Arabidopsis thaliana: one gene and its partner. The protein of the gene in region 2 interacts with the protein of the main gene of each other region in a pairwise test. Each region holds a gene or a part of one and is shown on either strand. Other genes may lie near its edges.

Region 1 (8,107 bases), on a different chromosome or scaffold from region 2:
CAAAGACCAAATAGTTGATGGAGTAAGCGAAAACGTACAATGCGACTGAACCAGATGCATAGAAGGCTTTCCACCACCACCTCCAGTCTTCAACGCAGAGGTGCATGTAGGTCAAGACCACTGATACTTCTGCACACACGACTACCAAAAGAAGCAGAACTATGAGTAAGAACCCAAATACATAGTAGAATCTCCCTAACCATATGCTGGAGAAGATGAAGAACAGTTCTATGAAGAGCGTTCCAAAAGGAAGGGTTCCTGCTCCAAGGACTAGAAGCCATGACGGGTATTTCCGTTCTGGGATTTCCCTTGGAATCTGGTTGGTTCTCACTGGGAACTGGATTGCTTCTGCTCGTGTTCCTAGGAATCCTCCAAATAGGGTGAGAGGAACCGAGATGCAGAACCAGAGAGCCAAGAGCTCAAAATACAAAGAGATTGGGATGGCTCCAGTGCTGTTGCTGCTCCAGAGAAGGAAGTTCAACACTGTGAGTATAACAAAAGCAATACCCGGGAAGAAGCATGCAATGGACCAGGAAAGTGATCTCCATCCTTCTGAAGTCCCCTTGACAGTTCTCCAGAGCCGAACACCAGCGTACCCAGCAACAATACCCAAGAAAAGATAGAGAATAATCATCCCGGTTAGTAGCATTCCTCTTGAGGCAGGCGACATGAATCCAAGTGCAGCGAAAACAATAGTGACAACAGCCATTCCTGTAATTCGAACCCCATCTCCCACCATAATGCATAGAAGCTTTGACATTTCTGGTTCTCTGAACACATCTCCGACAACAAGTTTCCATCCAGAGAGCTCCTCATTCATCTGTGCCTGTGCTTCCTTGTCCAGTTCCTCATACTTTGTCAAATCCCTTCTCACTGTCCTCAGGAATATGACGAAAACTATACCGGCCAGAAAGAAGATCACCATAAGCGAGTTCAAAATAGAGAACCAATGAACACGAGCACCTTCCATTTTCAAATAGGCATCCCATCTGGATGGCCATCTTGTCTCACTCTTAACAAATTCCACTTCATAAGTGAAGGTTATTCTTTCATGTTCTTTAATGATCTGAGCTTTGTCAAGCTCCAATGGACAGTTAACTGAAGGAACAGGGTCATACATGTGAAGCTTCGTCATTTTTTCAGCATCATACTTAACACTGCAGGGAACAACCTCAAATCCAACAATCTCATACCCCAATGCCTTCTTCTTATCAGCTTCAGAGATCACACCCATACCTTCTTCACCAGTACCAATCACCTCCATGACATTGCCTTCATACTCATGAACCAAAACCTTAAACTTGAGGTGATTAATGATGTAATCATCATTACTGTTAGGTGGCGAATACCCAACAGGATATCCAGTCCACTGGATAGTAACCCCATTCTGCTTAGCGAATCTCAAAGCAGGCAAGTTATCAAGAATCATATTCACTTGATACAACTCACGAGTTCTCTGTTTCAAGAGCTTGACCTCATGCTCATTCAAAGGACTCGTAGTGCATAAGTAAAGAGACTCATTGGTTCTCATCCGAAACCTATAAGCAGAGTTATCAATCTGATCACCCATGAGAAGCTCACCAAGATTCTCAGCACTTTTCTTGATACCTTCAAGTGGTTGGCAGTAAGGAAGACTATAGTAACTGAAAGGAAGCTCAGTTTCAATAGAAGTCAAGGAATTGACTTTGGCGAAGATAGAGTCTCCATCTGAATATGTGTGCATATAACTCCCTGGTAAGTAAAACCCATTGCAAAGCTGACTAACAAACACCAGTAACACGAATACTCGATACACACCAAACATTGTCCCTTCCTGTATCAAAATACAAAAACTCTCTCACGATTAGTAAAAATCACTACTATTGTAACAGATTCAAGCACATTCTCACGAATACATTGAAATCGAAATGGTTTATGCATGTAGATCAGATTCGTAGTAACCAGATTCGGGATTAATGAATCAGATCGGTGGATCAATAGATCAGATCTCAAATGGATCATAAACGCAAAACTCAGAAGCTAATTGATATAATGGAATACGAAAACGATGAATACAAAATCAGAAAACGCGAAAGAAGAAGCAGATGCGAATCCAACAGATCTCAGAGTATTCGAGAGCAAACCTGAGAGAGAGAGATCCAGGTATGGAGATCTACGAGGGAGTCAGATCTAGAAGAGGTGGTCGAGGGACTTTGGGTTGTTTCGAAGGTCACGCTGATAATCTCTCTCACTGCTTTGCTTTGGTTGCTTAATGCGTTCGCAAAGAGAGCGAATAACGAAAATCAAGAAAATCGTGGGTGTGTTGGGTAGTTATTCTCTGTGACGCGCTTATACAATATGTCGGTGCGGTAATCACCGTGCCTAACTTCATCTGAGGCCAAAAAAAAAAAAAAAAAAAACTTCATCTAAGGCCTTGAATTTCTATTGGTTGAACTGGTTATAATTAATTATATTTTTAAGTAAACGACGGTTTTTAAATGAGATTTTTGTAAAATAGAGAGAGTATAATGTAGTTAATTTTTAAAAAAATAAAACAAAGCCAAATGACCAATTTTTTGGAAACAAAAAATAATTTTATCACATATAATTTGAACATTTTTTTTTTTGCTAAAGAATTCAATATTTACTACAATTTTGAATTATTTTGAACTCTTATGTAAGAAAGTAAAATTTACACAAAATACATATTTTGAGAAGCTGGCATCCGGCATTTTGACATGCGTATTTTCTCAAACATTAAATACATTAATATATATGTTAACTAGCATTATAATAGAGTAAAATATTCACAAAATAATGTTTTGAGAAGCTGAAATGTAACATGATATTCTACAGTCTAGCAATTTGAGGTTTTCTACCGAATTTTCATAGTTTGTATTGTAAATTCAAATTAAATTTAAGTTCATGTAGTTATAAGCACATAAAAAAGTTCGGTGAATGGAAACGATAAAGCAATTTAGTTCATGGTGAAATAGGCCACATGATTATTAGCAGGATTCATAGATAAGAATGTTAACAAAATTAAATGGTAAATTGGGTTTAATTAGGTTTATGACCTCCGGTCGTCCTTACGCTATTATCTCCACAGCGTTTTTGTTTCATCTAATCAACGAAGTGAACTTTCGAAATCGATATCTGAATTTTGATTTAAAAATTGGAGGTAATCATTCACCAATCGGTTTGTCAACGTAAAAATCTCTCTCTGATTATATGAATTGATGTGATGTGAGTTCTTAGAATTATGATTCATCGAATTGGAAAAAATAAAGTTGTTCGTTGTCAGTAAAATTAGGGTAATTTGAATCATTAACGAGTATATGTATGTATTGTAAGACATGATTGATATACATAATGGTAAAAGAAGCTAAGCATGAGTAAAGCCGATTATTGGCAGAGATAGTTTTTTTCATCAGTCTTGATGATTGTTTCGATTAATACTCTATTGGATCTTTATTTTATTCATGAACTTGATTAGAATTTGTTCCTATATGCATGATTTTAGGGTTAAAATTTCTCTTGAATTTGGTATATTCTCTTGAATTTGATTAAAATTTTATCTGTTTTACTTTAAAGTAAAGTTTAGTGGGCACAGCCCAACCTAATGAAAATAAAAGAAGCCATAAACAGCCCAATAAGAAAGAAGTAAAGTGAACCAAATCGCAGGAATTAACCTCTGAAACGATGAACAGAAGAAATTGCAAAAAGAAGAAGAAGATATGAGTTCTCGAATTTTATCCTCCGATTCGGTAATCTTCTTACGTTTCTCTGTACTTACTGGAGATAAAAAAAATCGAAAATTCTCATCTTTTAAGTCAATTTTGTTACTTTCTTTCGAAAGTTTGGTGATTGTTTTGATGTGATAACGCAGGACGACGTTGATGAAGAAAACCCGAAAACTCACGAGAATGGTCCAATTGGAGGAAAGACTCAAAATTTAGGGCAAAGCAAGGGAGGTGATAGTGATAATGTTGTAAAGACTAATACTTGTTTCGTGTGTGATGGGAAAGACAATTGGGTTTTGGTATGTTACGGAGAGGAATGTACTATAGCTATTCATCAGAGTTGTGCATCTGATGAACCTGATTTCGATGAATTTGGAAATTTCTATTGTCCTTATTGTTGGTATAAGCGTGTAGTTGTCAAGTGTTTGGAGTTAGGGAAGAAGCTTATGCTGACTGACAAGTCTAGGAAGGGATGTAGAGAGAGTTTAGGAGGAGTAGATGTGGGTTTAATGATGGAGAAAGAAGCTGGAGGTGTTGAGAATGTAGTGGAGGTTAATGTTTCTGGAGCAAGTGGTATGGTTAGTGGGAAGAGAAGGGAAGGTGATGGATTAAACAATAAATGGATAGTGATCGAGAAGAGTCAGAAAATGCAAAAAGTTGCTGCTGAAACTCATTCTCGGGAAAATTCTAAGGCTGATGATATTGATTCGGATAAGGGAAGAAAGCAGCGAGGAAGATTTAATGAGAAGAATTATGAAATTTCATATGCGTGCATTTCTAATGCAGGTGAGGGAAGAAAGGGAAGGGTAAGAAGAGGTAATGAGAAAAATCATCAAGCACCAGAAGCGCACAGTATTGATGTTGGTGGGGAAAGAAAGCGACAGAGAAGATGCGATGATATAAACCATGAAAAAGCACAACCGCACAGTTTTGCTGTTGGTATCAAAACAAAAGAGAAGAGGAGATACAGTGAGAAGAACCAGCAAAACAAAACAGTTGCAACTACTCATGAACACGACGTCTTAACTAATGATGGAAGAACAGAAGCCCGCGATTCTGATTTCGGTGAGGGAAGAAGTGGGCAAGGATGTTTCCATGAGAATAACCAGCAAACGAAAGTGTCGTCTACTGAAAGATGCGAGCAGGAAATCCCTAGGACCAATAAAAGAGTGTCACTCGGTTCTGGATTAGGGGAGGGGCGATATCGGGAGGGAAGACATATTGAAAAGAATCAGCATACCGAAACTGTTAAAACTGAAACTCATGGGAAGGAAGTTTCTAAGGATAGGAAGAGAAAGCGGGAAAGAGGAGTGGAAAGAGATGGGGATGAGTTCTATTTGGCGGAGAATCAAGACAGACAATGCCAAGCTGATATGAGAAATGATGATGTGGCCTTCAATAAGCAAGCGACTGGTTTCAGCACAGTTGAACAAGTAGAGCGAAAGTCTGTATCATCTATTTCATCTCCGGAGTCTACAAACAATGTTAACGACCCTAATGTTGCTTTTCAAGAGTTAGCTTTGATCATCCACCCTAAGGCTGGTGTACAAGAACAACCTATCGAAGCACGACCTTTACGCTCTGTCTCTTCGAAGAAACCATCTTTTCAACCTGAAAAATACGGACACAAAAGTTACCTGGAGAAGAATGGACCTGCGTCTAATGATCCCGCACAAAGGTTTCTATTCATTTGGAACTTCGTGACATTTAAATTGCCTTTAGCATAATGGATGTTTTTGAGGAAGATTCCTAAGCAGCTTGTCACGGGCTTTAAGCTAACAATTTTTCTTCCATGTAGTGCTACAAAAAGGAAAAGACGATTTTGGACGCTGGCAGAAGTAGAGATGCTTAGGGTATGTAACTTGCACATTTCTCTCTATCCTACGTATATTTCATGCTGCAGTTATCTTGGTTTTTCGTAATTTGGAGCTTACACATTCAACGGCTCTTTTTAAAGGTTTATGCCTGTTTTAGTTTATCAGCTTTATAAAAACAGCCAGGGTAGCTGGTCTTATCATCTCCTAAGAGGCGGTATTTCATTTTCAGTCGTAATGCAATTGTTTTGTAGACTAGACTTCATAAATAAGAGCTTATCCTCCAAATCATTGTGAAATTATATCTGAGATATATAACATTGTTTGTGGCTGTCCAAATTAAATATTTTGCTATGTAGTGCACAATGGTGATAAATGTGGATTTGTCTAACTTCGTCCTGTCCTTTAGGTTGGTGTGCAGAAATTCCCTGGCGAGAGGAATATTCCATGGCGCAAAATCTTGCAATTTGGTCGGGATGTGTTTCATGATGAACGGGCTCCAAGCGACCTCAAGGACAAGTGGAAGACGTTAAACAAAATTCCTTCTGACACGGGGAAATGGGTAAGCCTTTCAACTGAAAGACAACCGAATTACTATGTGTCTGAAGTTAGTTCTGAATGACCTATCGGACTTAGCAAGCATTAGAGCTTAGAAGAGTAGTAGATAGGGCTTTGCAGATTTTGTACAACCTTGCTTGCTCCTAGTTTGCTAAATGTATATGGAGCAAAACTGATCTTACCTTTTAACACTAAATTCAAAAAAAAAAAAAAAAAATTGATCTTACCTTTCTAATTTGTATGTCCTCGGCAATGTAGAGAATTCACAAGAGTGAGATGATATTTCATGACACTTGAACACAAGTTTATACTAAAAATCATGAACCAATGTTGTACTTCAATATCTATTAAACTTTTACATGTCTTTTGATATGGATTTCTCTGCAATTGTAAGACAAAGAAGAAAACAGTAAGGTCAATTTTACACTTCGTGTAAACAAACTTTTTTCTAAGTTTTTAATGAATTAAAAAATAGATGTTTTAGACAGAAAATGATGAGGGTAGAATTCCCGCCAGTGCGTGGGTTCAACTATAAATCCTTTAACCGCCACGTGTCCTAGAAGAGTGCCACGTACAGCCACTATCCTCCACTTTCGGCTTATTTCTGTCGGTTTATTCTCTGCTCACTGAGTGGCAAGAAAAAAAGAAATGGAAGTTCCCAAAGGATTCTTTGAGAAACTGTGGAGTTTTGTCTCTTTTCTTCCTTACTTCTTCCTCTTGCTGCTCCTTGGCGTCACCAAGGGTATGAATCTTCTCTTCTTTCTTCTCTCCATCCATAAGAATGGAGATGTTAGCTTTGCTTATTAGCTCTTGAGTTTGTTAGAGCTCCAGAGTCGTGTAAACTCGAATCTGATTTTCTGCACTCTTAAGGTTAGATTTTGGTAAATGGAATACTTTAGGAGGCTACTGAAGCTATTTGAATTCATATTAATAATGAGTAATGATGTTTATTTACACAAAACTTATTGAGTATTTTAGTAAAGCACTGTAAGTTATGTACGGTGTAACGTTCTCCCTCTTGTTTCGTTTTGGTTCTCAGCCCTGATTATTGGTCCAATATCATCTGCTATAATTTTGGTTGGCAATTCATGTGTCATCATTGGCCTTTGGCCAGCACATTTCATTTGGACCTACTACTGTTTGGCAAGGTGTATACCCATCAAATTTGAAATACTTTGTTTCTTGTTTCATCTCCTTTTAATTTCCACTAAATATCTTGTTTTTGTAACCTCTAGAACCAAGAGAATAGGGCTGGTTTTGAAGACCTTGGCATTGGTATTATTTCCACTGCCTTTGCTCCTCTGGCCAGTTGCTGGTATAGTAGGAAGTCTCTTCGGTGGAATCGCCTACGGGTTTTTCACGCCTCTTATGGCTACATTCGAGGCTGTAGGAGAGTCTGTTACTAGCAAATGCTACCATTGCTTTGTTGATGGTTCGTTCTCCACTATTAAAGGGAGTTGTACTGTGGTTACAGACTTCACAGATTTCTGCTTCCATTCTTACTTCTCCTACATGGATGAGTTAAGAGAAATGGTTTCGGCCGATGTTGAACCCTTAGAGATAAAGTAAGAATCTGAATCGCTCTCTTCGTTAGAGATAAAGAAGAACAATTTTTTTTTACAGTTTACAGTGATGGCGTAATCTCATTTTCTTACCAGGTTGTCTCGGCTACCTAGTTGTCTCCTTGCTAGTCTCATAGGTGTGATGGTAGATGTTCTTCTAATAACAGCTGTCGCTGTTTACAAAAGCCCATACATGTTACTCAAAGGATGGAAGAGGCTATTGGAAGACCTTGTTGGTAGAGAGGGCCCATTCCTAGAGAGTGTCTGTGTTCCATTTGCAGGTCTTGCCATATTGCTATGGCCACTGGCTGTCGCGGGAGCTGTAATAGCTTCAGTTTTATCCAGCTTCTTTCTTGGACTGTACAGTGGAGTCATCGTTCATCAGGTTCACAGCCTTTACTTATAGTCCATTAAGTGGTTTTATAGCTTACAGATTTGGTTATGTTGATGT
Region 2 (7,297 bases):
TGAAAGTTACTAAACGTCGTCGTTTTGTGGGGTAAGTATACTTTAGTTGGAGTACAAAATAATTTTGTTTGTTTGTAAATAATTTGTTTCACAAGGTAAAAGATCCATTTGACCCCAAATTAGAAAAGAAAAAGAAGGTAAAAGATCTATTTGTATTGATGTGAAATATATAATATAAATCTTTGAATTTTGGAAATGATGTAAATGTGTTCTTGTATATGTTGATTATCAACATATGTTGACATATTTTTTAGTTTGTTTAAGGACTAAATGGTTATTGGTTCAACTTTAATTTTGTCAACTAAATGCTTGTAGTTTGTTAACCAAAACATTTGACTTTATGAGTTATATATATGGAGTCAATTATGGGTTGGAATAAGGTAGATTCTTCTCTTATCCTCATCGTTTGGAAACATTACAAAGCGTACTGGTTTGGGTTTCTTTTTGAGATTGTTCATTTTGGGCTTTGCTCTCTGACAGTTTAGACTTTGGAAATTCTCTAGCTACTTCGAAAGTTTGAAGTGACAATATTTTTACTTGCAAAGGATGTTCGAAGTTTCAGCTAAAAAGATTTTACAACATGCAAATATTGTATTCCATAACTAGAATTACTTTCGGTCTCAAAAATTGATTGTTCTGCAGTCTGAACCAACTACTATTTTCCTAACTCATTCAAGTCTTCCAATAGATTGAGCAATTTATAAATTTTGTACAACAAAGCTTCATAGCTGATTGTGTTATTTCAGCTAAAAATTTATGAGAATTTGCTGTGATGATGAGTGGGACAGTTATACAGATTTTTAGCTACTAGCACGCTTAAAATGTTCACGAATAAACCTCTCAGCGTGAGACGGGTACTTATCTCGAACATAGGCTCGAAGACACTTTTGGTACGAGAAATCTATCCATCCACCATCTGTTCTCACAACAAAGAGGCATCTTGAGTGCCTGAATTGTGGATGCCGATCAACCTGCCAGTAACAAAGTAGCACACTCATAAGTCCATGCACATAAAGCAAATGAAGATTTATGGATAGAGCATGTAAGTAAGTCATATATCTATCATGGTGATTCGAGAACTATGCACAATACCTCAAGATAATTTCTATATGAGTAGAGCTTAAAGAGAGAGATATCGGGTTAGCTCGAATTTACGTACCATTATAAAATCAAGACCACAACCAATTTTGTCTTTGGAATATGGGTGATAAGGAAGAAGCTTTTCCATGACAATTTTCTCATCCTCAAAATCTAAGCGTTCTCCATCCAAATACCTGCTTACCAAAAAGGAAAAAAAAAACAGCTCACTAGAACTGCAAAAAGTAATCTACACAAAGAAAACAGCAAGTATGCTCTGAAGCTAGCTTCAAATGTCAATAGTTCACTAGAAAAAAGTTGTAATTTGCCTAATGTTCAAGTAAACTGAAGATATATACAAGAGCATCTCTCACTTTCTGCAATGACCACTATAATCCTATCATCCATTGCTAAAGGATCCTCAACAATAAGCCAAGAATATCATCATGTGTAATAGTCACCTCAAAAGGCCATATGGTGTCTCTATGTTGTTTGATTAAGCTACTGGAAGAAGCTATGAGCCTATACCTTCAATACTAATCCAAACATGGAACAGCTATTGAAGAACAATCAGCAAGAATTTGAAGAAATTACCTATCGGAATGAAGAATTTCTTTAGCGAGAAGAGAAATAGGTTCAATATCTCGAAGAATCTCAGCCTCTAGATTCTTCCATTTCCGATAATCAGGATCTTCATAACGCCAGCTATTATCAACAACAGGCGATGTCACGTTCATCGCCGCCGCGCCGGATCCCTCCACCGGAGAAACAGAATCATTATTCTCGTAAAACTGTGGTCTATCAGCAAGAGAACACAACAAACGCCGACGGTGACTGAGAATTCCACCAGCTACGATACCAACTTGATGACGATGGTTGAGAAATCCGTTGCGGAGAAGCGGAAGCGTTCTGAGAAGAAGTAGCGAGGTCATCGACCACAATCAAGGAGTAATATAGACAATAATAACGAATAAAACCCTAATCTGTACTAATCACTCGAAGAAGATGAAAAATTGGGGAAATCTCAGAGAATCAGAAATTTGAGAAGAAGATAACGTTTCGTCAGTTTGTGAAGTTGGGGCATCGAACCCGTGACGTTGAAGAAGCTAAACAGAGTAACTAAACCTCTCTGAGCCTTTCCACAATAATTATTTTCATTTTCTTAAAAGTTAGGTGCCAGCCAATCTGTGCCGTTAGATTGATCTTTATATGCTTCTATAAATATCTAAAACAACAATCCAACGGTGGAAAGATCACATTGCGTGTCAGTACTGTAGATACTCATCACCGAATCTTTCTCCTCTTTTCACTCTCCAGCTGGCCGAACCCACCGGTTTTGCCCACTTTCTCTCTAGGCCCGCAAACACAACTTGCTAAGTCGGTAGTAATTTACTGAAAAACCCTCACAAATAGCTGACTTGGCTCTTTTCACTCCACGTGGCTCCATCTTACGTGCCTAGTTTGGTAATTTCAATTTCAATCACCTAGATCGTAACTATTGATACATAATGTGAACTGATGACGTGTTGAAAAGAGATTGGTTAGGTCGGTTTGAAAAGATATTTAGAAGATCTAAAATATCTAGCTAACTCGTCCACGTTGGAATTAAAATATTGCGCTTTTTCCTGGAAAAGAAAAATATAAAACAAGTGATAATCTTCTCTTTTTCGAAATTGTTTCACTTCTGAAAAAAAAAAAAAAAAAAATTGTTTGCTCATCATCTTCACAAACCAAACTTCTCTTCTTCTCCGATCTCAGATTTGAATTTTTATCGATTTTGAGCTTCGAAGAGCTCAATCTCTAACTGAATTTCGAGAAATTAGAGAGTTTGAAATGGGAGAGGAAGTACAAATGAGCGATTACGATGTTTCCGGCGACGGAGATAGGGTTTCTGAATGGGAGATGGGATTACCAAGCGACGAAGATCTAGCATCTCTTTCTTACTCTCTGATTCCACCGAATTTGGCGATGGCGTTTAGTATCACACCGGAGAGAAGCCGTACGATTCAGGATGTGAATCGTGCATCGGAGACGACGCTCTCGTCGCTACGTGGTGGATCTTCAGGTCCAAATACCTCGTCGTCGAATAATAACGTGGAGGAGGAAGATCGAGTTGGATCTAGCAGTCCTGGATCGGATTCGAAGAAGCAAAAGACATCAAACGGTGATGGAGATGACGGTGGCGGTGTGGATCCGGATTCGGCGATGGCGGCGGAAGAAGGAGATTCAGGAACTGAAGATCTATCTGGGAAAACACTTAAACGACCGCGTTTAGTGTGGACACCGCAGCTACACAAGAGATTCGTTGACGTTGTAGCTCACTTAGGGATCAAAAACGCTGTTCCGAAGACGATTATGCAGCTGATGAACGTTGAAGGATTAACTCGTGAGAACGTTGCGTCTCATCTTCAAAAGTATAGGCTTTACCTCAAAAGGATGCAGGGATTGACTAATGAAGGTCCCTCTGCTTCGGATAAGCTCTTCTCTTCAACACCTGTTCCTCCACAGAGCTTCCAAGATATCGGTGGCGGTGGCGGTAGCAGCGGTAATGTTGGAGTGCCGATTCCGGGGGCGTATGGAACGCAACAGATGATGCAGATGCCAGTTTATGCACATCATATGGGTATGCAAGGATATCATCATCAAAATCATAATCATGATCCTTATCATCAGAATCATCGTCATCATCATGGAGCTGGTGGAAATGGTGCGTTTGAGTCAAATCCTTATATGATGCAGCAGAATAAGTTTGGATCCATGGCTTCTTATCCTTCTGTTGGAGGTGGAAGCGCAAATGAGAATTAAAAAGAGTCTATAGATGGATTCAATGGGGGAGGAAGAGATAGGTGAGCTTGTTATTGCTCGTGGAACTGATAATTATTGTCAAGTTTCTGTTTTTTTAAGTACAGTACAGTTATAATTCTTACTCGATTTGATCGAAATTTTCATCAAGTTTCTGTCTTTTACTATAAATGGTATACAATAAAGTCTTAATAATCACTTGTTTGGTGATGTTGACAGAGTTAATATAATCAACTAAGTTGAATTTGATTTTGAGATTCTTGTGCTATGTTGAAATGTTATTGAGAATTAAGTATCAAAATTGCTCTCATGTGACTTGAGACTTAATGTAATCCAGATCATGTTTGATTCATCTTCGGAATTATATGGTGGTTTTGAAAACCATGTGTTTAATTTTCTCTTCGGGACTAGGTAACTAACACTGTGAGTTATGTCAAATCCAAGAGAGCATATGTGTCATGTGGCTCGACATTTTCTTGTGTACTCTTTTTGCAGAAGTGATAGTGTCATGTTATTTTGGTTTTGGTTTCCTCATTGGGAAAGTCTTGTGATGTTTTTTGATCTAGACAAGATATTACCTGTGCAAGCTTTTAGGTAGAATGAGCAGTTTCTCTTTTATGTTTGGGTTCTGCATCTTTTGCAGGTCTTGATCATATTTGATTGTTGTTACAGGTTCTTGGTGTCTACAAAATTTCTTATCTTTTGCGGAGTTTTCCACCGCAAAGTCCCAAATTGCATCTGTTCAGGAGAGGATCATACAAAGTATCATGTAGAAGCTAAACCAAGAGAAGACTGCAGACAAATTTCATATACTCATTTTTCTATCTTGTAAGAGGTAAGTCCCTTTGTTTTATTTGTCTGCAGACTTCTTAAAGTGGTAATCAAGAGAGTGAATTGTTTATTTCTGTGAGAGATGGCGTCAGACACAAACTTTATTTTAAAAATTTATAAACCAATCAAATGTTTCAGAAGAAGCCATTTTAATACAATCAAGTATTCCTCATATGATGACCTTACGAGTGATTGGAGAGCCACATACCAATGAACGTCCAACAAAAGGAAGAAAGTGACATTTTAACAAAAGCAAAAGTCTTTCCAATGTTTCTTGCTGACATAGGTTTCAGCCACTTAGGGTTCTACTTTGAGATTTAGATAATAATTTCAAGACCTTTTCATCTCCAATATATGTTCATAATTTTCATTAATATATGATTGTTTCTCTGCACATCATACATTCAGTGACAACCTTATCTTCAGACCTTGATTATCTTATTTAATAGTAGCGAGATTCTTCTAGAATAGAAAAGTACATAGATTTCTTAACATCCACACAAGTAATTGTCTTCATAGAGTCATCATGAAGTGTTCAAACTCCTTTAGCGAGTTGTGTAAAGAACCTCCACCTCTAACAGAGGCTCTCAGCTCCTCCTTCAAAGTGACGGCTCTCTTTCTCATTTCCTCTCCTTCTTCGAAAACCGTTAACCTCTTCACAGCTCTCTCGACCGCTCCTCTTTCTAGATCACCCTCCACTTGAATCCCAATTTTCCAAACACACTCCAAGTACCTTGCGTTCACCCGAAAATGGCCTGCAAATCACCGGAACTCCTTCGCTGATCATGTTTTCTAGTATCGAGTTGCATCCTTTATGGCTCCAAAACGCCCCTATTGCAGGATGAGCAAGTACTTCCTTCTGTGGAGCCCTTTTCACAATGTAGTTGATACATATGTTTTCTACTTGTTTATAGGGCGGAAGCTACTGTTACTAAGAAACCTGCTTTTCCTCCATTTCCAAAACCTACAAGAAAACTAATAAGTAGCTCTCTAAGCTCCGGGCTTATAGATTACTCTGCTTCTCATCTTCTTTGAACGTTTTATATATATAAATATCAGATTCTCGCTTGTGGACACTAATTCATCCGTATAATGTTTTGTTAGCTCTCTTTGCGCACATGTGAAGCATGTGGTCGATGGTGTACGCAAGTAGTTACATCTCTTTATTTTGTTAGAGAGAGTAGTAATCAAAGACAAAAGAAAAGATGTTTATTGTGATGCAACAATTCTATATTGAGCAAACTGCCAAGAGTGATACAAAAGAAACCACACTTTGCAAATTTTGCAACAATTCAATTAATATTACATGAAGTTCAACATCTTTGCTTTGTCTTCAAGTAATTGACAATATCTTCCAATGCGTTGTATGAGGCGCCTCCACTACTGACAGAGGCTTTGATCTTCTCTTTCAGAACAAGGGCTCTCTCTCGCATCCCCGCACCTTCGTCATCCACGATCAACCTCTTCACAGCTCTCTCAACCTCTCCTCTATCCACTTTACCTTCCACCTGAAACCCTATTCTCCAAACACTTTCTATATACATTGCATTCAACTTTTGCTCGCCATGAAAGGGCTTGCAAATCATTGGAACTCCTTCTCCAATGCTCTCGAGTATTGAGTTCCATCCACAGTGGCTCCAGAAGCCTCCCACTGCAGGATGTCCAAGTACTTCTATCTGCGGTGCTCGTTTCACAATGTATCCTCTTTCAGAGACCATTTTATTGACATCCTCTGGCAATGACTCTATTCCGTTAGTGCCAAGGATAGAACCCGCTCGGATAACCCATAGAAATGGTTGGTTGCTATTACACAACCCCCAAGACATCTCCAAAACTTCCTTGGTTTCCATTTGACCAAGTGTTCCTATGCTTATGTATATCACTGACTTTGGTTTCTGCTTGTTCAGCCATTCAATGCAGCTCCTGTCCTCTTCAAGTAAACTAGAAGGTGATGAATCTGTCATGTGAAGAGGGCCTAATGGATACACAGAAATTCCTACTTTTTGTTCCAGCCATGACAGAGACGAGCTCTCTAGACAGCTCACCGTGTTGATGATAACAGCTGAAGCTGTTCTTTTGTTGGCTACTTCCCTACAGAGCTCAAAAAATCGATCTAGTGGCCCCATTCCTGAAGTCGGTAGGTCTTTGTATCGTAATGGATACAAATTTTCCACCACCTTGTCTTGCATATCAGGATCTGCAAAGTTGAAAAAAACAAATACCAAGGTTAAGTTAAAAGAGTGATCATTTCAAGATTGGTTATTAAGCTTGTTTTGGTTACCTTCCATGTCAAGCAAGAACTTGTCTGCATTGAGTTAGCTAATTACACAACGTGAAACGTAATTTGCAGCACTTTGAGTGCTGAATATGACACTAGGAATGCTGAACTCCTTAGCTGCAGCTCCACAGAAGTACATGTACTCGTCGTAAATGATACATGCAATATCATTGCCTTGTTGTAGCAACAACTGACTTATACAGTCCTTGAAGCTTGCCTCGCTTGTTTTGTTGAGCGTTATCATAGACTCGATTCCTCCGAGTTTCTCGAATTCAGACTCTGGTAAGCTTTCTTTTATGGTGACAAACT

Evidence for each region.
Region 1: the proteins of PCL1 (region 2) and AT4G12670 interact in a two-hybrid assay, tested with the Arabidopsis thaliana proteins (one large-scale study listed by BioGRID).

The regions. Positions count from the first base shown.
Region 1 is NC_003075.7:7,468,362-7,476,468, forward strand, and holds AT4G12670 (Homeodomain-like superfamily protein), read left to right. Parts: upstream 1-3,644; 5' UTR 3,645-3,716; coding exon 3,717-3,746; intron 3,747-3,868; coding exon 3,869-5,400; intron 5,401-5,520; coding exon 5,521-5,575; intron 5,576-5,945; coding exon 5,946-6,158; 3' UTR 6,159-6,690; downstream 6,691-8,107. Other genes in the region: AT4G12650 (Endomembrane protein 70 protein family), read right to left, coding at 1-1,804; AT4G12680 (uncharacterized protein), read left to right, coding at 6,743-6,836, 7,134-7,242, 7,330-7,659, 7,753-8,041.
Region 2 is NC_003074.8:17,180,338-17,187,634, forward strand, and holds PCL1 (Homeodomain-like superfamily protein), read left to right. Parts: upstream 1-2,732; 5' UTR 2,733-2,910; coding exon 2,911-3,784; coding exon of another isoform or gene 3,785-3,882; exon of another isoform or gene 3,883-4,549; intron 4,550-4,551; coding exon 4,552-4,652; 3' UTR 4,653-4,714; exon of another isoform or gene 4,715-4,848; 3' UTR 4,849-5,017; downstream 5,018-7,297. Other genes in the region: AT3G46630 (DCL protein (DUF3223)), read right to left, coding at 801-971, 1,160-1,274, 1,672-2,009; AT3G46650 (UDP-Glycosyltransferase superfamily protein), read right to left, coding at 5,224-5,443, 6,253-6,907, 7,043-7,297. UniProt on the Arabidopsis thaliana protein: Transcription factor that is essential for the generation of the circadian clock oscillation. Is necessary for activation of CCA1 and LHY expression.